Elephas maximus indicus: one gene and its partners. The protein of the gene in region 1 interacts with the protein of each later gene in a pairwise test. Links are inferred from orthologs where the notes say so. Each region holds a gene or a part of one and is shown in the gene's direction. Other genes may lie near its edges.

Region 1 (7,894 bases):
TGGAATGAGTGTTGAGTTTTAGCTGCTAACTCAAAGCATGCCCTCGTTGCCAAGTCTCCTGCTAAAGATGTCCCAAGCAGATTCAAGTGATGGGACTTTGGGATCCCAGGCCTGGCCATGCTTGATAGCTCTGTTACCAGAACAGGGTTCCTGCTTCCAAGGACAAACATGTGGTACCCCCTTCTCAGGCCTATTCAAGAGCTCACAAAATTCTTGCTGTTTATCAAAGTTATTCAACTTCCCCCAAGCCTGTCCCCCACATGTAACACTGGGACGTTCACTAATGGTGTCTCCTGTGTAGGGCTGCTGTGGCTCTCACCTCCTACATCCCTTCTCCCCACAGTAGTCAGAGGGGCTTTTTAAAAAGGGTAAACCAGTGAACCAGCTGCATAGTCAATTCCAACTCACGGCGACCCCATGGATGTCAGAGTAGAACTGTGCTCCACAGGGTTTTCGGTGGTAGATTTTTTAGAAGTAAATCACCAAGCCTTTCTTCTGAGATGCCTCTGGATGGACTCCAACCTCCAATCTTTCAGTAGCAGCCCCAGTATACTAACCATTTCCACCTCCCAGGGACTCCTTAAAAAGGGTAAATTCTCCCAAAACTGCCCACTGCTCTGAGAGCTGAATTCAAAATCCTGACCCAGTCTGTCAAGCCCTGTGCGATCTAGCCCTTGCCTACCTTGCTCACCTCATCTCCTTTCATCCTTGCCCTCTCCCTTTGCTCTCCAATAAGTCTCTGCTCTTCATGTGCACAAACTTCCGCACCAGGCCTGTGCCCTTGCTGTTTCCTCTGCCTGGAATGCTCCTTCTCCAGAGCTTTGTACCATTGACCTTAACCTCCTCAAAGAGGTCTTCCTTGACCATCCTAGGGACAGTGCTCCTCCACCCCCAGGCACTGTCACATAACTTTTTTTTTTTTTTCCAAAGTACTTATGATCATCTAGAGCCTGGTAGAGCAATGGTTAAGAGCCACAGCTGCTAACCAAAAGGTCAGCAGTTCAAATCCATCAGCTGCTCCTGGGAAACCCTATGGGACAGTTCTACTCTGTCCTGTAGGGTTGCTGAGTTGGAATTGACTCAATAGTGATGGGTTTGGGTTCTGATCATCTAGAGGGCAGTGGTGGTTCAGTGATAGAATTCTCACCTTCCATGTGGAGGACCCAGATTCCATTCTCGCCCACGCACCTCATGCAAAACTACCACTTGTCTGTCAATGGAGGCTTGCATCTTGCTATGATGCTGGACAGGTTTCAATGGAGCTTCCAGACTAAGCAAACTAGGAATAAAGGTTTGGCGATCCTACCTCCAAAAATCAGCCAATGAAAACCCTGTAGATCCATGAGAATTTGTCTCTACTCACTTGGAGCAACAGAAGATGAAGGACAGCCAGAAATAGAAGGATACAGAACGTGTGGCTAATTGTCTCCGTGAACAACTGTCTCCTTTGCCATGACATCAGAAGAACTGGATGGTGCCCAGCTAACATTATTGAACGTTTTGATCAACGACTCCATAGAAGAATCCTGATGGAAAAGGGAAAAATGCAAAACAGTTTCAAATTCTCATGGACTCAAGACTTTCTGGAGCCATGGAAGGTGGACAAACCCCTCAAACTACTGCCCTGAGATAATCTTTAAATCTTAAACCAAAATATTCCCTGAAGTCTTCTTAAAGCCAAACAACAGTTTAGCTTACCTAGTAAAGAATGTCTGCCTCGAGCATTATGCTCTTTTAAGGAACTATCTATATGGGATCAAAGTGACAACAGCAACTCAAAAGAACAGATAAAAACCTTAGGGGGAGTGAGTTTATGTTAATAGGGGAGGAAGACCTCAGACAAGGCGGGTGAGAATGGTTGTATGGCTGGAAGACTGTAATCACTGTCACTGAACTTTACATTTAGAAACAGTTGAATTGGTGTATGTTTTGCTGTGTATATTCTCCACAACAACAAGAAAAAAAAAAACGAAATGTATGGATCACAACAGTCAGATTCATTGTGCAGGGGGGAGTCGAGGCCGCTAACCACAATAACAACACCATCTAAACTTATAAATTAGCATGTTTATCTGTGTGTTGCCTGCCTCCTTCGCCAGAACTTGAGTGCCGTGAGAGCTGGCGTCTTGGCTCTTATTTAATTGGAAGAAGTCCTGACACCCAATAGGCGCTCAATCAATAGCTGAGGAATGAGTGAATGAACTGACTGGTGCACAGTCAACCCTCCACAAACAGAAGCTTTTATTATCACCCATAACTTATCTCCATCACAACTCCTGTCCATGCCCCCCCCGCCCCCCGCCCCCCGCCCCACCGCCCCACTCAGGGTCTCTTCTGACCACTGTGGAGGTCTCCTACCAGCTAAGTAGTATTTCTACCATCAGTGTTTGCTGCCCACAGTTCTCCCTCCTGGGTACCCCTCCCTGCCAAGTGTGCTCCTCTGGGCCTCAGTGGTGCTGGCACCTTTATTGTACAGGCTGGCACAGGCAGCAGGCTCTTATAAACGCGCTTGGCAACCCAGGTGTACCACGCAACCGCCTTCCTCCAAGTATTAGCTGACTTTTTCCCTTGCAATGTTTGTTTTAGGGATTAAAGTTAGTGGAGGATCCTGTAATTTCCAGAATCATCTGTTCCTTTCCTGGTAGACAGTAAGACGTTTGTTATTTTATTTTCCGAAGACCCTCATAATGCCATTCCAGACTTGTTGGTTTGATAACATCATCCAGCGGAAAGGCTGTTGACACTTCCCAAGGCCAGAGGACAGGATCTTGATGGCCTCGGTGATTAGTGCCTGAGCAGATTCTCCTTAGCATCCCTTCACATCCTTCACCTAGGCCAACCTTGCAGTCTACGATCATTCTCTTCTTTTTTTCTCTCTGTTTCTTTCTTAAGTATTGCGATGACCCCTCATTTATCTGGCATCGTCAAGGAATGGGCTATTTCATGTTAGTCATTTTCAAAATAATGCCCTTTGAGTCTTAAAAACTAGCAAGTGGCCATCTAAGATGCATCAATTGGTTCCAACCCACCTGCAGCAAAGGAGAATGAAGAACACCAAATACACAAGGAAAATATTAGCCCAAGAGACAAAAAGGGCCACAAAAACCAAAGACTCCATCAGCCTGAGACCAGAAGAACTAGATGGTGCCCAGCTACCACCAGTGACCCCCCAACAGGGAACACAACAGAAAGTCCCTGACGGAGCAGGAGAAAAGTGTTGTGTAGGACACAAATTCATGTAAAAAGACCAGACTTAATGGTCTGAAACTAGAGGAACCCCAGAAGACATGGCCCCCAGACTCTCTGTTAACCCATAACTAAAACCATTCCCAAAGCCAACTCTTCAAAGATTAGACTGGACTATAAAACATAAAATAATACCCGTGAAGAATGTGCTTCTTAGTTCAAGTAGAAGATAAAATGAGGCTAAATGGGCAGCTCCTGTCTGGAGGTGTGATGAGAAGGCAGAAAAGGGCAGGAGCTGGTTGGATAGACACAGGAAACCAGGGGTGGAAAGGGGAAGTGTGCTGTCACATTACAGGGATTGCAGCTAGGGTCACTTAACAATATGTGTATAAATTTTTGTATGAGAAATTAACTTGAGCTGTAAACTTTCACCTAAAGCACAATAAAAAAAAATCATGATCACTGGCTGCTTTACTTTTCTAGACCAACAGGGAGAAGGAAGGGCAGCAGGCTTGTTGGGACTGCAGGGCCACTGGAGATCTCAGGTTCAGGAAGATCCTAGCACATCTCAGGGACCTCTTTCCAACTCTACCAGACATTGGGTCTAAGGGACTCAGCTCAGAAGCACCAGCGCCCAGCATTCAGCAGGTGCTCAATGAATGCCTGTCAGGCTGCACTGGACCCAGAGCATTTATTAGGTGCCTAATCATGATAGGGAAACCTTGGCAGCGTGGTGGTTAAGAGCTACGACTGCTAACCAAAAAGGTCGGCAGTTCGAATACACCAGGCACTCCTTGGAAACCATATGGGGCAGTTCTGCTCTGTCCTATAGGGTCACTGAGTTGGAATCGACTCGATGGCAACGTGTTTGGTTTTTGTTTTTTTTTTTTTAATTGTAGTAGGACAGAGCTCTGGTGGCGCAGTGGTTAAGAGCTAGGCTACTAACCAAAAGGTTGGCAGTTCCAATCCATCAGCTGCTCCTTCCTATGCTATTCTGCTATGAGTCGGAATCGATTCAAAGGCAACAACTGGTTTTTTTTTTTTTTTTTTTTTTGTGGCGGGGGGAGCGTTTAATTGTGGTAGTGCTGGTTAGGCACTAAAGACATGGAGCTGGCAGAAGGGAACCATTAAACCAGCAAGTGACTATGGGATGCATGGCGCCAGTTGGTAAAACGTACACGCAGACCCACCCCAATAAATGGGAAAATGAGAAGGGCTGGCTCTGCTGGGATCCTGTCCCAGCATAACCACATATGTCACCACTAAGCCACTTCTAGCTCCTCCCCCCACCCACAGACACCCTGGTTGTCTGTCATATAAAGGTTTTCCCAAAGTGGTTTAGCCAGACCTGGAAAAGCCCTGCCCTGTGACGAGTTAGGAGGAACCTGACCCTTGCACCAGCAGCCAGAGGGGGAAGTCACAGGAACTGGATGGATCCCAGGTGTTCTGGAGCTAGGTGGTGAAGTATGGGCATGCTTTATTCAATTTTGCCTGACTCGAAGGTTTAATTTTTTTCATTAGTATGTTATTGTAGACATCCCTAAAAATACAGGTAAGCAAAGGGAAGGAAACAAAAAGCTCTCAAATCTCAGAGAAAACACCAGTTAAACTGTGTCTTATGCCCTTCTACACATGTATGAATATTGTGTAGACATTTTGATTAAAACCAGGTGTGGGTGCTACTGCTGAAGGCTTCGTTTGAGGTGCCTGAGAGTGGGGACGAGTGTTTGAGAAAGGGGAACCCCAGAGCACCGCAAGGGACAGTGGGAGTAGTTGGGGTCGGGGTAACTGCGTGCATTTAGGACTATGGTTACTCTTGACAGCTTCCCAAATTAGCCCCACATCCTAGGATAAAAAGAGGCCTGGCTGGCTAGACTCTTCTTTCCTCTCAGCCCTGCTGCGGAGTAAAGAACCCCTCACAGCCTCTTCTTTCTCTCCTTCTCCAAGCCTTGCCCCTCAGGCCCCACTTCTCCCTGCCGGGTCATCCCTCCTCCCATCTCTAGGCTTTTGTCACTTACCCCATGCCCCCCACTCCATTCTAGTAACTGCAGTGAAAAACTGCTGAACTGTGACTACAGAGGCGCCCAGTCAGGCGACTCAGGCTCCAGTGGCAGTTTAGCTCCCTCGGGCCTTGTGGCCTCAGATAAGTGGATTGGAAGTGATAACAAGAACAATACCTGCCCACAGGGCTTATTTCAAAGGAAGAAGTCTGTGTTAGCAGTCTGTGTTAGCAGTCACGGGCTGGGCAAGACCCAATTCTCTTCCGAGGACCCACTGGACTGGGGCCTCACTGAGAGGGGATTTCAAATTTGTTTTATCAGCAGACCTGTAGTAAAAATACATTATGTGACACACCAAAATATATGAGGGACAAAAGGGGAAAAGCTCTGGGTGAAGCAAGAACAGGAGCTCACCTCCAGGTCCCCTCCCCCACTTCCCCACAGTGATGCTTCTCTGAGCAAAGCAGTCTAAAGAATTGTGCCTCCTGCCAAGAGGGGGGGCGGGGAGGGGGGAGGGTAGGCTAGCAGGGAGAAACTGGGAGGGTCCAGTGCTTCTGCCTGGGTGGGAGTCATCTGAGTACAGGCTCCCCCTCCTTCAAAGACCCACTTTGGTTCCCTGGAGCCAGCCTCCAGGATGGGTGGGGCACTGGAGGCAGCCAATACTGCTTTCTATTTGGCTTGACCTTCCTAGGCCAGAGGGCAAGTGGGAAGTACACTGGGGACTCTCAAGCTAGGTGGGGCCAGCCCTGTCCCTATTTCCCCTCAATGAGGTTCTCTTGCTCACAGATTAAGGAAAAACTGTGACTCACTTCCTGTCTCTGTCTGACTACAAAAGTATTGTTGGTCCAACTGTGGCTGGTGCTGCTGGTGGGATCTACCCCAGTGTGGCACCCTTCCAGGGTGGTCCCTAGGAGTCTTACTTAGCTCTTCTGTCGGGAGAAACCTCTAGCTGGGGAGCGGCCCAATCAGACCAATCACCCTGATCAACTTTGACGATCACACATTCTTCCCCAAGCTTCCAGTTTTCGCAGTGTTTGTAAGGGTGCCCAAATGATACGTTATCTCGTTAACACAGTATCTTCATTTTGGAGCCTTGGTGTCCAAGGCGGTTGGTGGTTAAGTATTCAGCTGCTAACCAAAACGTCGGCAGTTCGAATCCACCAGCTTCGCCTTGGAAACCCTATGGGGCAGTTCTACACTGTCCTATCGGGTTAATATGGGTCAAAATTAACTCAGTGGCAATAAGTTTGTTTGTTTGTTTAAAGTGGTCCAAACTGCTAACATGCTCAGTCATTAACCTAAAGGTTGGTGGTATGGGTCCCCCCAGAGGCACCTCAGAAGAAAGGCCTGGTCATCTACTTCTGAAAAATCAGCCATTGAAAACCCTGTGGAGCCTGGTTCTACTCTGACACGCATGGGGTCACCATGAGTTGAAACTGAGTCCTCAGCAACTGGTTATCTTCACCTTACAGAGGGGTAAACTGAGGCTCTAAGAAATTAAGTATAAAACAGCGCTACGGGAATTTGAACACAGGTTTGCTAGCTGACTATCACATAGTTCCCTTAGAAATGTCATTTAACCTCTCAGGCCTCAGTTTCCTCCTCTGTAAAAATGTAGATATTTAATGCATAAATGGTACCAAAAGTCAAAGGTACTTGTACCCACCTCGTGGGGTTTGTGGTTAGGACAAGCGAGCAGCGCCTGGCTGGTAGTGAGCACTCAGCAGTGTTCACTTTCATCATCATCTCAGAACCTGTGTTCAGGCCACTAGGCTCTTTGCCACAGGATTATGCTGAAGCCAGGTTCTCTCTCAGGGAGCAGGAAGGTATGGGCAGAGGCTGCTCCCCAACCTTGGAATAACCCAGCCCGGGGAACTCTTAGCCACATTTCCCATCTTTTCTTTCTCAGCTCAAGCCCTGGCAGCCTCAGCCAAGTAGCACAGACGGTTTCTAGGGTTTCTAGGGCAGGGACCCAGGGAGAGGAGCCACCTGGTATATTGCAAGGAGCTTGGATTCAGGGTCTCTTTCAGGCTCTGAAGGCTGCTAATTGTGGGACGTCAGACAAATTATTTAACTGTGCACCTCAGTTTCCTTATCTGTAAAATGGGATTAATAATGTCAGCCTGAAAGGATTATATAGATTTAATAATGTACATAAGAAGCAGATAATGTGAAGTGCCTGGCCCAGAGCCTGGCACGTGGTTGATGTTATTTAAAAAAGTTAAAAAAAAAAAAATTAAAAGGGGGTAGGCTACTTGTTCTGCTTATTCACCTGTCTACATGAACACAAATAAAATCGTGACTCTTCTTTCAGAAGGCCTTGGGGGAGATTCGTCCTGCCGCTATCAAGTCCGACTTCGGAGTGGGGTACCTCTGGGTACTTAAACCAGCCCCGTCCAAATTCAGGGCTCTAGGAGTGGGATTGTGGAAGGAGGAGGGGGCCAGCCCTCCCTCTTTCTCCCCGCCGCCCAGAATCCAGCCGAGGCTGGGCTCACAAGGACTCCCCAAGCCCTTCCTATCCCTAGGGTTCCAGGTTCGGGTCTCCGTGACCGCCTGCCCGGGAGCTCGTGGCGCGAAGTGCCGAGCCTAGGGGTCAGGGCGCAGACAGCCGGGCCTGGGCGACGCGCCGGCTGGCGGCGACGGCTTTGGGATCACCGGCCCCACTTCCTACCTGCCCCTGCCGGGAGCCGGAGGCAGCGAGGCGCCCC
Region 2 (7,664 bases), on another chromosome or scaffold:
AGGGTCACTATGTATTGGAATTGACTTGACGGCAATGGGTTTTTGGTTATATCATGGACTAAGGAGTCCTGGTGGTGCTCAGCTGCTAACTGGAAGGTCGATGGTTAGAACTCACCAGCCGCTCTGCAGGAGAAAGGTGGCAGTCCGCTTCTGTGAAGATTACAGCCTAGGAAACCTCCTGGGGCAGTTCTACTCTGTCGAAATCAACTCGACGGCAATGGGTATATATATAGATATATTTGCCGTTGATATATATATATATATCACGGACTGCCAAGAGAACAAGTCAGAAGAAATGCAACCAGAATGCTGCTTAGAAGCGAGGTTGGTAAGACTTCAGCTTGCTTACTTTGGATACATCATCAGGAAAAGACTGATCTATAGGAAAAGATATCACTTTTGGCAAAGTTGAGGGTCATCAAAAATAATGGAAACCCTCAATGAGATAAATTGGCACAATAGCCACAACGACGGACTCAAACATACCAACGATCATGAAGATGGTACAGAATCAGAACAATGGACTGAAACGTACCAACAATCATGTCGATGGTACGGAACCAGAAAATGGACTCAAACATACCAACGATCTTGGAGATGGTACAGAACCAGGCAAGGTTTTGTGCTGTTGTACATAAGGTCATCATGAGTCAGAGCCGACCAGATGGCAACAACTATGGGCCAGAAGGTTCTCACAAATGGGGAAAATGACCAGATAAAAGGCTGGAAAGAAGTACACCAAAACTTTAAAAACTTTTATGATGGAAAATTTTAAACATATAAAAAATTTTGCCCTGGGTGGTGCGAATTGTTAAGCACTCGCTGTTAAATGAGAGGGTGGTGATTTGAGTTCACCCAGAGGCGTTTAAAAAAAAAAAACCCGTTGCTGTTGAGTGGATTCCAACTCATAGTGACCCTATAGGACAGAGTAGAACTGCCCCATAGGGTTTCCAAGGAGTACCTGGTGGATTTGAACTGCTGGACCTTTCAGTTAGAAGCCGAGCTCTTAACCACTGCACCCCCAGGGGTCCCCCAGAGACAGTAAGAGTCTAATAAACCCCTTATATGTTGAGCTTCAACATACCAATCTTGTTTCATCTGTACTCCCTATTCCCCTCCCATTTGCAAATCCCAGACACAGTCCTGCTAGAAAGCTTTCAGTACATGGCTGTAAAATTTAAGAACTTTTTGTAATGTAACCTCAATATTATCATACCTAAGGAAATGAAGAATAAAATAGTTCCTTAATATTATCAAATGTCGAGCCAGTGTTCACATTTGTCTGACTGTCTTATAATTTTTTGAATGATTTGTTTGAATCAATGTCAAAACATAGTCTACACATTCTAACTGATTTAAGACTTCAGTTTTTATAACCTACAAATTCCCCTTGTAGCTCTTATTTTTCTGGCCTTGATTTTTTTTTTTTTTTAAAGAAATTAGTCATTTGTCCTGTAGTTTCTCAGTCTGAATGTTGCCAGTAACCTCCCTATGATGTGTGTGTGTTTTCTTTTTCTAGAAAAAATTGAGAAATTTCACGTAACATAAAAATTTACCATTTTAACCGTTTTAAAGTATACAATCAGTGTGTTTTAGTATATTTACAATGTTGTGCACCATCCCCACTAAGTCTAGAACGTGTTCACTACCAAAAAGAAATCCCATATCCATTAAACTATCATTCCTCATCTTGCTTCCTCCATTCTTTGGCAAGTACCTGGAAACCACTAACCTACTTTCTGTCTCTATGGACCTAGGATGTCATTTAACATGTCCCTTTGTCCTCTGCATTTCCTGCAAATTAATAGTTAGATCTAGTGGCCTGATGAGGTTCAGGTAGTGCCGTGTATGTACTCTGTTGTTGTTTGCTGATGTCCAGTTAGTCCCCGACTCATGACGTCCCCAAGTACAACAAAATGAAATGCTGCCCAGTCTTGTGGCATCCCCATGATCTGTTGCGTATTGGACCATTGTGATCCACAGGGTTTTCATGAATCGATTTTAAGAAATATGTTGCCAGGCCTTTCTTCCTAGTCCATCTTAGTCTGGAAGCTCCTCTGAAGCCTGCTCAAATATTTTCATAGCAATACGCAAGACTCCTAGAGGAGTGGGTGGTGGCTGTGGATGAGGAGCATTGGCCAGGAACGGAACCTAGGTCTCCTGCATGGGAGGTGAGAATTCTACCACTGAACCAACCCTGTCCCCACGAAAGCCTCTTCTAGATTGCCTCTACTGGCACTATCTTGATCCCACTGACCATTGCCATTAAGTTGATTCCCACTTCAATCAACCCTATAGGACAGAGTAGAACTGCCCTGTAGAGTTTCCAAGGAGTGGCTGGTGGATTTGAACTGCTGACCTTTTGATTAGCAGCTGAACTCTCAACCACCGAGCTCCCACTATCTTGATAACTCTTGTTCCCTGGTATGACGAGATGACCCAGCTCATTTTGTACATTTCCCGTCCCAGACCCAGAACCAGACATTTCCCTAAGGTTCCCTGGGATGGTATTTAGAGACCACAGTCTGAGTATTAGGAGTGCCCATTGCAACTAGGTCAGTCTTTGTTTCTGATCTTTTCAGTGGACAGAGCTAACAAAACAGTGGAAATGTTTTGTTATGGAGGTAAATTAAAAGGTAAAATAGATCATGATTATTCCCAACTCAAATTCAGTATCACGGGGTGTTTAATCAATCTTACATCTGTATCTCCTTTCACTCCCTCTGAAAGTCCCAGTTCTTGGCATTAACATAATTGCTTCTTTTCTTTATCCCCCTCTACATCCACAAGTTCAGAGAAACAATTTTAACACCACCAACAATAATAGAGTAGTGTATACAGTTGAATAGTGGTGTTTTAAAATCACTAGTTCATCTGTGTTGTTTTGGCACCAACTGGATATACAGGTTCATTTGTTTTATTTCAATTTTGTTTTATAGGGATTTCTTTAATTTTTTTATTTCGATTTATAGTTACATAAAATACTTGCATGATTGTGAAGTCAAATCTACAGAACAAAGCATATTTTCAATTAAAAAAAGTCTAGCTTCTATCCTTGTCCCCTCCATCCTATTCCTTCCCTCTATAGGTTACTATTTAAAAAACACTACAGTTTATCTTTCTATTAAAAACATTTAGAAGACAGTACCACACACCAGAATTTAACTGAGATAATGAAAACCAAACTCGTTGCCATGGAGTTAATATTGGCTCATGGCAACCCCATGTGTTACAGAGTAGAACTGCTCAATAGGGTTGTCTTGGCTGTAATCCTTATGGAAGCAGATTGCCAGACCTTTCTTCCACAGCACTGCTGTGCCACCCAGGGACCTAACTGAGATAATGGAGCTGATCTATATATTGATCAAGGTGGGGCAGAAGGGGAAGGAAGTATTAAGACAATTCTCCATCTTACCTCTGGGTTTTGGCATGTGCTGAACATGCGTCTGGGACTCTTTTTCCCTTTTCTCCTAGGTAATGTCTACTCATCCGTAAGGTGTCAGCTCAATTGCTTCTTCTGCAAGGAAATACTTCCCGACATCCCCCAGTTTTTCCATGTTCTCATAAGATGGTATATCCCCTCACTTACCACTTACACACTTGTGTGTGTGCTCTAAGTGAAGTCACTTACCACAATTTATCACATTTGTAGTTACTCATTAATTTTATAATTGGTTGATTAATGTCTGTGTCACTTCCTAGATTGAGGTCCATCATGAGGGCAGCAGTATATGTCTGTCTCACTCAACATTGTGTCGCCATCACTTAGCACAGTGCCTGGCTCATAATAGGCCTTTAACAAACACATACTGGATGAATCAATGAATGATTGCTGAATGAATGATTTAGCTCTAGGTTCCCTCCACGGTCCTCTAACCTTTCCAGACCTCTATTTTCTCCTCTGTAAATGCAGTTATACTGTCTCTCCCTCCCCCGAGTTGATAAGAAGCGTAAGGGATGTGATGAACATTTATAAGTAGCTTATTGCCGGGTGTCACGCGGCGTTCTGCAACGGTTTTATTACGAGTTTAAAGCACTGTGCGTCGGCAGGTGGCGTTGCCAGCCGCGCTCTGGTCGGTGGCAGGAATGGGGCGGGGCCAGGGATGGGGGCGGAGCCGGAGTTAAGGGGCGGTGCCGGGACGCGGCAGGGGCGGAACCAGCAGCTGCGGCGCAGTCGGGCCTGTGCGGCCCAGGATGTCCCTGTCCCCTCCGGCCCCGCCTCCCGGGGCGGGACGTGTGCGGCGATTGGCGAGAGCGAGCGAGAGGCGGTTGCTATTGGCCAGCGGCGCAGTTAGCTCGGCGGGCGGTGCCCGGACGCAGGTGCCGGCCAGAGCGGAGCGAGCGGCGCTGACGGGACGGGCCGGGCCGGGCCGGGACAGGGCCCGGGGTGAGCGGAGGGGCCTGCGCGGTCGCCCGGCCCGGCCGCGGAGCAGGTAGGCCGGGACGGCGGGAGGGGACGGGGGACGCCCGTCTGCGGGCCCGCCCGGATTCGAGGCCCCTTGCGCGCGACAGCCGGGCTCGGACCCTCGGCCTTGGCCTCCCACTGGACGCCGGGGCCGCCATTCCCGTAGCGAGGGCGGCGAGAGGCTCCTGGAGCTCGACACACAAGTAGGCGCCTCGCAGAGCCTCAGTTTCCTTTTCTGTGAAACGGGGTCGGGAGTACCCAGGAGGGGCGCATGTGGAAAGTGCCCGACACACCGTAGGTGGTCACCAAGTGGTCAGTGACGTCCCCATCTTGCCCCTCAGGGGCTAATAGTAAATATAATGTGTCGGCACTGTGACAGAGTGGCCAGAATTTATATTATCCACTCACTCAGCCCTCTAAAGGAGTCTTGGTGGCGCAATAGTTAAGCGCTCCGCTGCTAACCCAATGCTTAGTGGTTTGAACCTACGCAGCGGCTCCGCGGGAGAAAGACCTGGCAATCTGCTCCCGTAAAGCTTGGAAATCCTATAGGGTAGTTCTACCCTGTCCTATAGAGTTGCTATGAGTCAGAATCTACTGGACAGCACCTAACACAACAATGTCCTCTAGGAACCGGAGGAGAGGGAAGTACTAGAAGTCTTCTTTGTTTTACAGATGAGAAAATGGAGGCTCAGAGAGGTTAAGACTCTTGCACAGGGCCACACAGCAAATAAGGAGGAGAGCTGGAATTAGAACCTGGCCCCAGATGCAGGGCCAGAGAAGTAGTGAAGAAGGCATCGATGTCTTCCTCTCTGTGGCCACAGGGCACACAGGAGCCCCTTGGTAGTGAGTGAAGATGAATGAATGCATTTTGCTGGCTCCACAGCTACCCTAAAAAATTATACCGGTTAACATTTATTAAGCCCTGGTGGCACAAGGGCTCGGCTATAATTGAAAATTCAGTGGTTCAAACACACTCAGCAGCTCTCCAGGAGAAAGACCTGGCGACCTGCTCCCATAAAGATTTCAGCCTAGAAGACCCTATGGGGCATTTCTACTCTGTAATACATGGGGTTGCCGGGAGTCAGAAGTCAACTTGACAGTACACAACAAAGCATTTATTGAGCACTTACTGTGTGCCAGGCACTGACTGTGCTTCTCATCAAGCCTTCCCAACAGTTCCTGAAGGTAATGATGTAATTATAATAAGAGCTAATGTTTACTGACTTAATGTTTACTGATTTATGAGCTAGGTAACATTATGACCCCATTTTACAGATGAGGAAACAGGCTCAGAGGGTGAAGCAGTTTGTCTGAAATCACTCTGTGGGGAGTTAGGGCCCTCTGAGTCCTCTTCCCCCAATTCCCTGCCCTCAGGAACAGGAGGCTGGGGAGGAGTGGAAAGGTTGTGGCACCCCAGTGTTACCTCAGATGTAGCTGAGGGAGAGTGAGCTTCACAGTCCACCGACTCCATCAGGTTATTTTACAAAGGAGGAAGATGAGGCCCAGAGAAGCTAAGTGAAGTGTCCCAGTTCACACAGCATCAGTGGCAGAGCCAGGACTCAAGAAACCCAGGCCTCATGAGCCCCAGACTCACTCGCTGGACTGTCCCTTCCTGGCTGTGTGCCCTTGGGCAAGTAACTGCACCTCTCTGGGCCTCAGTCTCCTCCTCTGTCAAGTGGGGGCAATTATACGACTTGCAGGTTTGTTGTGAAGACTCAGTGAAATCTATCTCCAGGGCACTGGGCTAAGTCTGCCCAAGGTGTTGGCTCATTCTCCCATCCTAGCAGACCCAAAGTTGAGTCCAACTTGCAGCCGCCCCTATCCTGACACCCAGCCTTGAGTATGGCTTTGTGCAAGCCTCTGTAACTCATTTGGACCTCTAGCCTCTAAACCTCTCCGATTCCCACCATGGAGGCTGGCACACTAGGATCTAGGGTCAAGGGATCTGTTTCTCCCGCTCTGTTCTTATACAGAGTACCCATACCCATTGCTGTCAAGTCGATTCCAACACATGGCGACCCCATGTGTTACAGAGTAGAACTGCTCCACAGGGTTTTCTTGGGTCTTTATGGATCTCTATGGAACCAGATTACCAAGTCTTTCTTCTGTGGCACTGCTGGGTGGATTCGAACCTCTCACCTTTAGGTTAGTAGATGAGTGCAGACAGTTTGCACCAGAGTAGGACCTGAGAAATTAATACAGCAACTCTGTGCCAGATGGTGTCAGGTGCTGGGGACAGTAGGGACCAAGTCCAACATAGTCCCTTCACAGAGCTCACTGAAGAGTGGGAAGACAGACATAGTTGACAAGGAGACAAATAAGAGCCTTTCAGAGGGTGGCCTGTCCTCTGAAGGGAGTAATCTGAACTCTGGTGACACTTTAGCCAGGGTGGTTGGGGGAGGCCCCTCCAGGGCAGTGACTTTTGAAGGGGACACTTATAATAACCGTGTAGAGTTTTTAGTGAGATGATTAATATATAAGCAGTTTGCTTAGCGCAGCACCTGGCATGCCAAAAGCTGAACCAAACCGGTTGCCATCGAGTTGATTCCAATTCGTGGTGACTCCACATGTGCGGAATAAATCTGTACTCCATAGGGTTTTCAAGGCTGTGACTTTCCAGAAGTGTATTACCAGGCTTGTCTTCCGAGGTACCGCTGAGTGGATTCGAACCATCAGCTTTTTGGCTAGTAGTCAGGCACTTAACTGATTATGCCTCCCAAGGATTCCTGCGTGGCATACAGTAGGTACTTAATAAACAAGGTTGTTGTTGTTGCTCTTATTCACTGTCTAGTTGGCTCGGACTCATGGTGGCCTTATGTGTAACAGAATGAAACATTGCCTCGTCCTGCACCATCCTCACAATCGTTGCTAAGTTTGAGCCCATCATCGCAGCCACTGTGTCAATCCATTTCATTGAGGTTTTCCCTCATTTTCACTGACCATCTCTCTACTTTGCCAAACATGATGTCCTTTTTTTAGCAATTGGTATTTCCTGATGACGGATCCAAAGTAAGCAAGACAAAGTCTTGCCGTTCTCACTTCTAAGAAGCATTCTGGCTGTACTTCCTTCAAGACTCTTTAATAAACAATAGCCGCTATTCTTATTTTGGTGATTTGTAGGGTCTTGCTTTAGCAGATTTCCCAGTGTTTTCTTTCCTGTGATAGTAAAAGGGATGGCTAGGTCCCTGGGTCGTGCAAATCATTTTTGCCCAACTACTAACCTAAAGATTGGTGGTTTGAGCCCAGCCAGTGGCAGTAC
Region 3 (7,774 bases), about 61 Mb from region 1:
TGCAGTGGTTAAGATTTCGGCCACTAACCAAAAGGTTGGCAGTTTGAATCCACTAGCCACTCCTTGGAAACCTTATGGGGCAGTTTTACTCTGCCCTATAGGGTTGCTATGTGTCGGAATCAACTTGATGGCAATGGATTTTTTTGTTGTTGTTTGTTTTGTTTTTGTCAGGGTACACTAGATTGTATTAAAATTTCCAGTTTGCTTATATCTTTCCTTCACTAAACAGGAAGTCCCTCCATGGAGCTATTTCTTTATTCTCATAGCCCAGTATAGTATCTATTACATCATAGACCCTAGTTCACATTTGTAAATTAAAGTAGAATTCATTTTATTTCAGTGGGTTTCCATAATAACAGTCTGCTGGTCAACAAATTCCGGTCTTAGTTTAGGTGCTAACTTAGTTCGATGTAGGTATTTTATCAGGGAGGTGACCCGAGGTACAACAACAAGAAGTGGAAAATTAAGGCAGAGAAAGGGGAAAAGCCAATAAAACGTATACTCATGAGCTGGTACAACTGGGCCTCGATGCTGCTTCGAATTCTTTGAGAAATTCTCTGGAAGTCACCTCAGAATTGTCCTTTTGGAAACTGGAGAAATTGGGGCATTTGTTCACTGACTCCAGTTCCAGTATTGTCCTCAGGGGCTTTAACTTACCCCACGCCTTCAGACTGTGTCAGTGTGAAGGGACACAAGGGCACATGACACCAGAAAAGACCTGGGCAGAGAAACAGAGGCACAGGCACTGATGGGGAAAGCAGTCAGCGCATAGGTGAACTTAGAGGAGGACCAAGGGTATGGGCTGGAGATCAACAGTACCTGCTACAGTAGCTCGCCAGCAAATTAAACATGTATAAGCTAACACTGGATTTAAGCTATTTAAAGATTGTTTATGGGCAACAAGGAATGGCTTCTATTCTCTGCAAAATACTTAAGGGTTATAGACATAAAAACTACTTGATTCAGTGTCATGCTAGGCCAAAAACTCTCAAAGAAAAGCTGCATTAGAAATGTTTTTTAATGTCTGTGCTGTTATTCACTGATAAATCCTTTTCCCATTTTAAAACATATATTTGCTCAGACCTGTGAGATTATAAAAATTTGTCCTATTATGATTATATCTGCTTATAACATCTTTGCTTGTACATTCCAATCAGCTCTGACACACCATTAAATAGCCATGGATATCCCTTATGATGCTCAGTACAGTGGGTTCACATCAATGATAATTATCACTTATTATTAGCATCACATCAATGATAATGACTCCACTTTGGGGCTGCGTTGCTCTTTTAAAGAAGATGTTTAGTAATGAACCTCACAGATACCCTTTACTCAGTGCCTATTGTATTCAGAGCTCCTCACTGACCACAGTAGCTGCACTCAGAACAGGAGGTGCACAGTGAGTGTCATGAAACTTACTGTTTACAGAGCAGAAATGCTCACATTTTATAAAATTAGCTATATGTATATTCCAAGGATGCAGAGTGAGATGACGTTAATCTGTGGAAAAAAAAGAGTTGAAGAAAGTGAGTTTTGATACAGAATATTCAAGAAATTAATCAAGCATGGCCTGATGTTTGAAGATGAAAAAAATACACAGTGTTCATGAATTAGTAGATAGTAGTCCAAAAAGTGTAAATCAAAAACATGCAGATGTTTGTCTTATGGTTATTGGGAGATAAATGGCTGACGATAAAATAAATTGTATTTGGTAATTAAAAAAAAAGAAAATTCTTTGGTTCACAGTATATCTAGTTTACTATGTTGCCTTATGGATGTATTTGAACGAACGGATGAACAGATAGGCAAAAAAGTGAGCAAATACATATTAGTATATGCCAAACTACAATGTGTAGTATACTAGTACGGTATACACCATATACTAGCTTATGATACCAAATTATCTAATTTCTTCCTTACTATGCTTAAAGTTGAAATTTCTAACCTCATTTTATAGAGAAGGAAGAAGGCTCAAAGATGAAAAGTAATTTGCCAAAGTTCACAACAGGTGGCAGAGCCTTGACTCAAATGCAAGTTTCCATGGTTTAGTCCATTCTTTTCCATACAATGCAATTCTCAGTAATTGTAATAAGATCTTACTCCTGTTTTAAAATGTGCCTTTATATTTGTTGTAATGGAGTAATTGCTGTCAAGCCTGCTGTTGTCCATACTGGCATCAAAAACACTGACTGTATGTAATATTTTTCCTCCTAGAAACAGATAATAAAAAAGTAGAATAGAGAATAAAGAGATGTTACCCCTTTAAAAAAAAAAAAGCACGCAGATGTATGGCGGTGTATTAGAGCATGTTGAGAGTGTCATCCTTTCTGTGAGCACACTGGAATATTTTAATCACTTCTTTACTAACTGTTGTTTGACTTTAAGTGAAAGTGCCACCTCCTGTAACAGCTTCCTGTGGCTACCATAACAAAATACCACAAATTTGGGGGCTTAAAACAACATGAATTTATTATAGCTCTGGAGGTGAGAAACCTGACTCGGTTTCACTAAGCTAAAAATCAAGGTGTCCGCAGGGCTGCATTCCTTCTGGAGGTTCTAGAGGAGAATCCATTTCTTTGCCTTTTCCAGTTTATAGAAGCCGCCTGCATCCCTTGACTCAGGACCCCTTCCTTCATCTTCAAAGCCAGCGGTATAACACCTTCTCTTCTTTATGACTTCTCTTCCCAACCTTCGGTCTTTTCTCCTTCTGTCTCTGACCGTAACTCTACTGCCTTCCTCTTAGAAAGCCACGAGTATTTGTCTCACCTAGATAATCCAGGAGAATCTCCCCATATCAAAATCCTTAACTTCATCACATCTGCAAAGTCACTGTTACCATGTAAGGTAACATATTCACAGGGTCCAGGGATTAAGATGTGAACACCTTTACCAGTTAAATCAGTTGTCATCAAGTAGACTATGACGCGTGGCCACCCCGTGTGTGTCAGAGTAGAACTGTGCAGAGAGTTTTCAAAGGCCGGTTTCTCAGAAGTAAATCATCAGGCTTTTCTTTAGAGGCACCTCTGGGTGGACTCTAACCTCCAACCTTTCAGTTAGTAGCTGAGCAAGTTAACCATTTGTACCACCCAGGGACTCCATGGACGTTTGAGGAGACCATTACTCAGCCCACCACCCCTCCTTTTGAAAGTTTTTCTGACCTCTTGAGTTAGGATTAGTTTCTCTTTCTCTGTATCTCACAACTGTCTGTGTATATCTCTAATGAGGGAATTTGTAGAATGATTTTGAAATTTGAGGTCAGTCTCTCTACCGTTACTGTTATTTTCTTGGAGGCAATATGGTGTATTGCATCTACACAATCAAATAGGCCTGAATCTGGAATCATGACTCTCCTGGTTTCCTCCTGTGTGAAGGAAGAGAAGCTGTATTGCCTGGTGGATAAGAGAACAGATGTTGGACCCAGATTCCTGGTTCAAATGTCTGTTCTACCACCTACTAGTTTCCTCATCTGCAACATGAAAATACAGTATTTACCAAATAAGGTTCTTGTGAAAATCAATGAATAAATATACTAAAAATGCTTAGAAGAGTGAATGGCACATAATAGTCACTCAAAATTATTAGTTATTATCATTTCCCACTTATGAGATTATTGTAACAATTAAAGGCACAGTGGATTCGGGCACCTCACAATGCTTGGCACACAGTAAATTCTCAATAAATTCCAGCTTTTCATTTATTATCATCTTCATCTGTGTTAAACATAAAAGGATAATGAAGTTGAATACGGTGAAGAAGATGTTGTTCTTTCAAAGTAGAAATTGAGAGAAATGTGCTGAACATTGTACCAATAATCTGAATCGTTTCAGACTCTCTTAGACTCTAGGTGCCCTGGTGGTACAGTGGTTAAGCACTCAGCTGTTAAATGAAAGGTCAGCGGTTCAAACTCTAGAGAAAGATGTGTGTCAGCCTGCATCTGCAAAATTACAGCCTCAGAAACTCTCTGGGGCAGTTCTACTCTGCCCAGCGGGGTCACTATGAGTCAGAGTTGACTCAATGGCAACAGCTTTTTTGTTTTTTTAATACTCAGTATGGTAACGGTTAAAAGATATGAAAGGTCTATAGTGCTGTGATGGATAGATTTCATTTGTTTCAATGGCAAGTAGTAACAGCAATAACTATAGGCTTTTAAATACTGCAAAATATTTCCAAATATATTATCTCATATGATCTTGACCTAAATTAGTGTTAACTCCAGACAGTGTCACTGGCTAGTTGATTATTCTGGCTTCCCAGATTATTATCATTCTTGTGATATAGGATCTTCAAGTGCTACCTATTTGTTTCAGAGCAAATCGAGCCATTCAACTCAAATGTTTACAGTAAGTAGAACAGGAATTGTCTTCCTCTCTCACAAATGAAGCAACAGCAAAGTGGTACAGCTTCTCAGCTGTTCCAAGTTCCTCAAACAAGTTTTACTTTTGCAAACCAAACGCTCTAACTTCCTGTATTCTGTGAGCTGCGTTATAAGCAACATGACTGGCAGCCACATTTGTTGTAATTTTTTAAATATGTGGAAAACAAATAAAATATCAACTATGTATTACGTGAACCAAGATGCCAAATTATCTAACTTGTTTCTCCAGGCTAGCAGCCCAACGACAGGAACAGCTCCCAGGAGCCAGTCACGGTTGTCTGTGTGTCCATCTACTCAAGACATCTGCAGGTGAGTACTGAGCAAACGATCCTGTTCGATAGTTCTTTTAGACCAGTGTGTTACATTCCTAGTTTATGTTCTGAGGATGTGTGGCTCTTGCTTCTGCCTTACGTTGTCCATGGACAATTTAAACTGGCTTATTTTGTTTCCTTTATTTCATTTTCTTCAGTTGATCTTTATTTACTAACTTCAGTCCATACTCTCATTTTCATCTTTTTCTCTGTTTTTCCATGGCTCTCCTCTCCATTCCCATTTCTCATCCTCTGCCTGCTGCTTTGTCCAGATCTGCCATCTTGCATGACATGTCAGAAGATGCATTTGAACATTATACCCCTGTCGTGGTGCTGAGCTCTGCTAGAAAGGAGTCTGGTAAGAAACCATTAAAACAGAGGCCTAGGAGAAGGAAAAGGGCCTCAGAGAGATATGAGCATGCAGACGAACAAATGGAAGGGAGGAGAAATGATATGAACCTCCAAATCTTAAACCCCAGCTGGAGTGAGCTTCATGAAGATTCTTCAGATTCATCTTCCACAGATGAGAGTCATTGGATTCAGGCTAAAAGAAGAGCCCAAGTTAAGTTCAGACTGTCATGAAGGAGAAGGATAAATAATAATAGTAAGCCTTGTGGAAACTTGGGTGTGCCTTCCCCACCTAAAAGAACTGAACTTACAGATTTGGGAACCAAAGTTACAAAGCAACAAGGGCAGATCGAATGTGAGAGTTGCTTTATAAATCAGCGAAGAGGAGAAGGCACAAGGCTCCAAGAATGCAATCTTTCCCCGCCTAGAGAATCCTTTGAAATTAAGAGATACTCAAGGATTCATGAGGAAAACAAAGGTAGACACCACCAGAGAAACTCTCGGCTCTTGCCTAGTCTCAGGCAAAATGCAACAATCAAGAAAAGACTTTCAGAGAGAGATTCCAGCACTGAAATATTGGATGTTCCAGAAGCTGGCGAGCATGTGGATGATTCAGGGCTCCGGGTGAATAACTCTGTTCAGGAGCCTCCTGCCACCTGTGATGATGGGTCTGATAGTTTAGAAGTATGCAGGTCAGTCACTACTGAGAAAGACTTGATGTCCTATAACTGTATTTCTTTCTGCTGTGAGGTAGGTGTGTGTTTGACACCTACTTCCCAAACAAGACGTGTATCCATATTGCTCTTTGTGATTATTAAGCGAAAAATGAGAAAAGGTGGGTATGAGAAGAAGAATGCAGGGGTATCCATGGGTTTGCAAGCTGTTGCAGAATAGCATTAGATTTCCCCTTCTCTTTCTTTTAACTGAGGGAACTGAGAAACTAGGTGAGTCTTAAACCCATTCTAGTTAAGACAAGCATAGCGGAGGAAATCTGAATGAGAGTATATGAACCTCGGACTCGTCAATGAAAATAGGGTGAACTGTTAGCCCCCTGCCAGAAAGATATTCAGGGCTTGGACCCCTTCAGGTCAGATTTTTGTATCAGAAAGATTTCCTCTGCAGCTGGTGCTAATTTCTTCTCCAGTTGTCCGACTCAGCAGAGGGATTCAAGGCTGGAAGGACACAGAAACAGGGTATGGACATATCAGTGGGGTTACTGGAGCCTTTGGGGAAGAAGACCATATTAACTAGTCACGTAATAAAGGGTTTCCACTTGCAGAAATTTCATAGCTTATGAGACTGCTTACTTGCTCTTTTTACCCAACAGTATACATTTCAAAAGAACTGTAGGAATATCCATGTTGGTGTGCATAAATGAGACAATTTTAAATAAAACAAGTATGTTTAAATTCTCATATAACACCAAATCATTTAAGTTGATTGGATTTTGTCTGGGAACAAGTGAAGTTTTGTCGTACAGTGCTCGGTAGTTTGGGTTTGCTTTCTTAAGAGTTGAAGTTACTTTATAAACATATATGGTCATTTCATGTGAGTCAGGTGACCCAGAGGATGCTGGCCGTGGCACAGTAGGAGAAGAATTAAGCTCCTTATGTGAATCACACTAGAATGATATATTTCCCTGAAATGTTTCTAAGATGGTCGTTCATAAAATGTCCATTATTTTGTTCAACAAATATTTATCAAGCATCTCTTATGTATCGGGCATTATTCTAGACATGGAAAACAGTGCAGTGCAGAAGAACTGTATCGTTTCTGCTGCCAGAGACCTTACAGTCTAATGGAGAACACAGACACAAAAACGACTATTTCACAATTAATACCTAATTACAATTGTGTAAGGAATGTGGGAGCATATGACAAGGAGGCCAAACCTACTCAGGGAGATCAGAGAAGAACTCTGAGGAAGTGAGAAGCAGACTGAGGCTCAAAGGATGACAGGAGTTGATCAAGGAAAGAAGTGGGGGAGGGGCATCCAGGCAGAGAGTGCTAATAGCGTGAAGTCAGGGAAAGAGAAGGGCTTGACAATTCAGGGAAGTGAGAGCCTGCTATTGTGGCCAGGGTGTGGTGAGTGAGGGGCTGGGTGGTGGAGATGACAATGGGGAGGTGGAGAGGGGCCAGGACATACAGGGCAATGTTAAACAGGCCCAGGATTTTGAGCTCTATTTTTGAAACATTAGGATTTAAAAGGGAAGTAGTGCAATTTGGTTTTTATTTTAGTGTTTCTTTTGTACACGATTTTCGCTGAAAGAGTGGGCTAGTCTAGACTACTACTTCTGTTTCTAGTGTAAGAAATCCCCACTTGCAACCATCTATTGTCATTTCCTAAATCCGCTTCCAGCATAATTAAATGAAAGACAGCCAAAGGAGCAAGTAATGGGTTTAACGGCTATTGGAGACAAAACGATGCTTGCAATTAAAATCATAGTGACTGGCTCTCCTGTCTTAAAAGCATTGTTCTGGAGGAACATTTCCAAAGACAGGGTATTTAACCTTGACTTCTGTCAATGAACGTGCAATCAAAGGGACTATAGGTATTATTTCTTGCTGTGGGTTATCATCAAAATATACTAAATGAATACCATAAAAAAAAAAAAAAAACAGAGGCAGCATATTATCCAGATGCTGAGGATAAAAAGTGGTAACAGACTTGATTCCCTTCCCTTCCCTTAAGTAGCCTATTATCAGGCGGGAGGGATTGAGAATACACCTGAAAAGA

What was found.
Region 2: the proteins of FURIN (region 1) and MARCHF2 interact in a protein complementation assay, tested with the Homo sapiens proteins (2 studies listed by BioGRID). The link is inferred for Elephas maximus indicus from reciprocal best matches to the Homo sapiens genes FURIN and MARCHF2.
Region 3: the proteins of FURIN (region 1) and MARCHF1 interact in a protein complementation assay, tested with the Homo sapiens proteins (2 studies listed by BioGRID). The link is inferred for Elephas maximus indicus from reciprocal best matches to the Homo sapiens genes FURIN and MARCHF1.

What each region holds. Positions count from the first base shown.
Region 1 is NC_064831.1:75,239,614-75,247,507, forward strand, and holds the start of FURIN (furin), read left to right. Parts: upstream 1-4,540; 5' UTR 4,541-4,642; exon of another isoform or gene 4,643-4,650; intron 4,651-7,894. UniProt on the Homo sapiens protein: Ubiquitous endoprotease within constitutive secretory pathways capable of cleavage at the RX(K/R)R consensus motif. Mediates processing of TGFB1, an essential step in TGF-beta-1 activation.
Region 2 is NC_064821.1:13,132,345-13,140,008, forward strand, and holds the start of MARCHF2 (E3 ubiquitin-protein ligase MARCHF2), read left to right. Parts: upstream 1-4,307; 5' UTR 4,308-4,433; intron 4,434-7,664. UniProt on the Homo sapiens protein: E3 ubiquitin-protein ligase that may mediate ubiquitination of TFRC and CD86, and promote their subsequent endocytosis and sorting to lysosomes via multivesicular bodies.
Region 3 is NC_064831.1:13,917,622-13,925,395, forward strand, and holds the start of MARCHF1 (E3 ubiquitin-protein ligase MARCHF1), read left to right. Parts: upstream 1-4,417; 5' UTR 4,418-4,496; coding exon 4,497-4,687; intron 4,688-7,774. UniProt on the Homo sapiens protein: E3 ubiquitin-protein ligase that mediates ubiquitination of TFRC, CD86, FAS and MHC class II proteins, such as HLA-DR alpha and beta, and promotes their subsequent endocytosis and sorting to lysosomes via multivesicular bodies.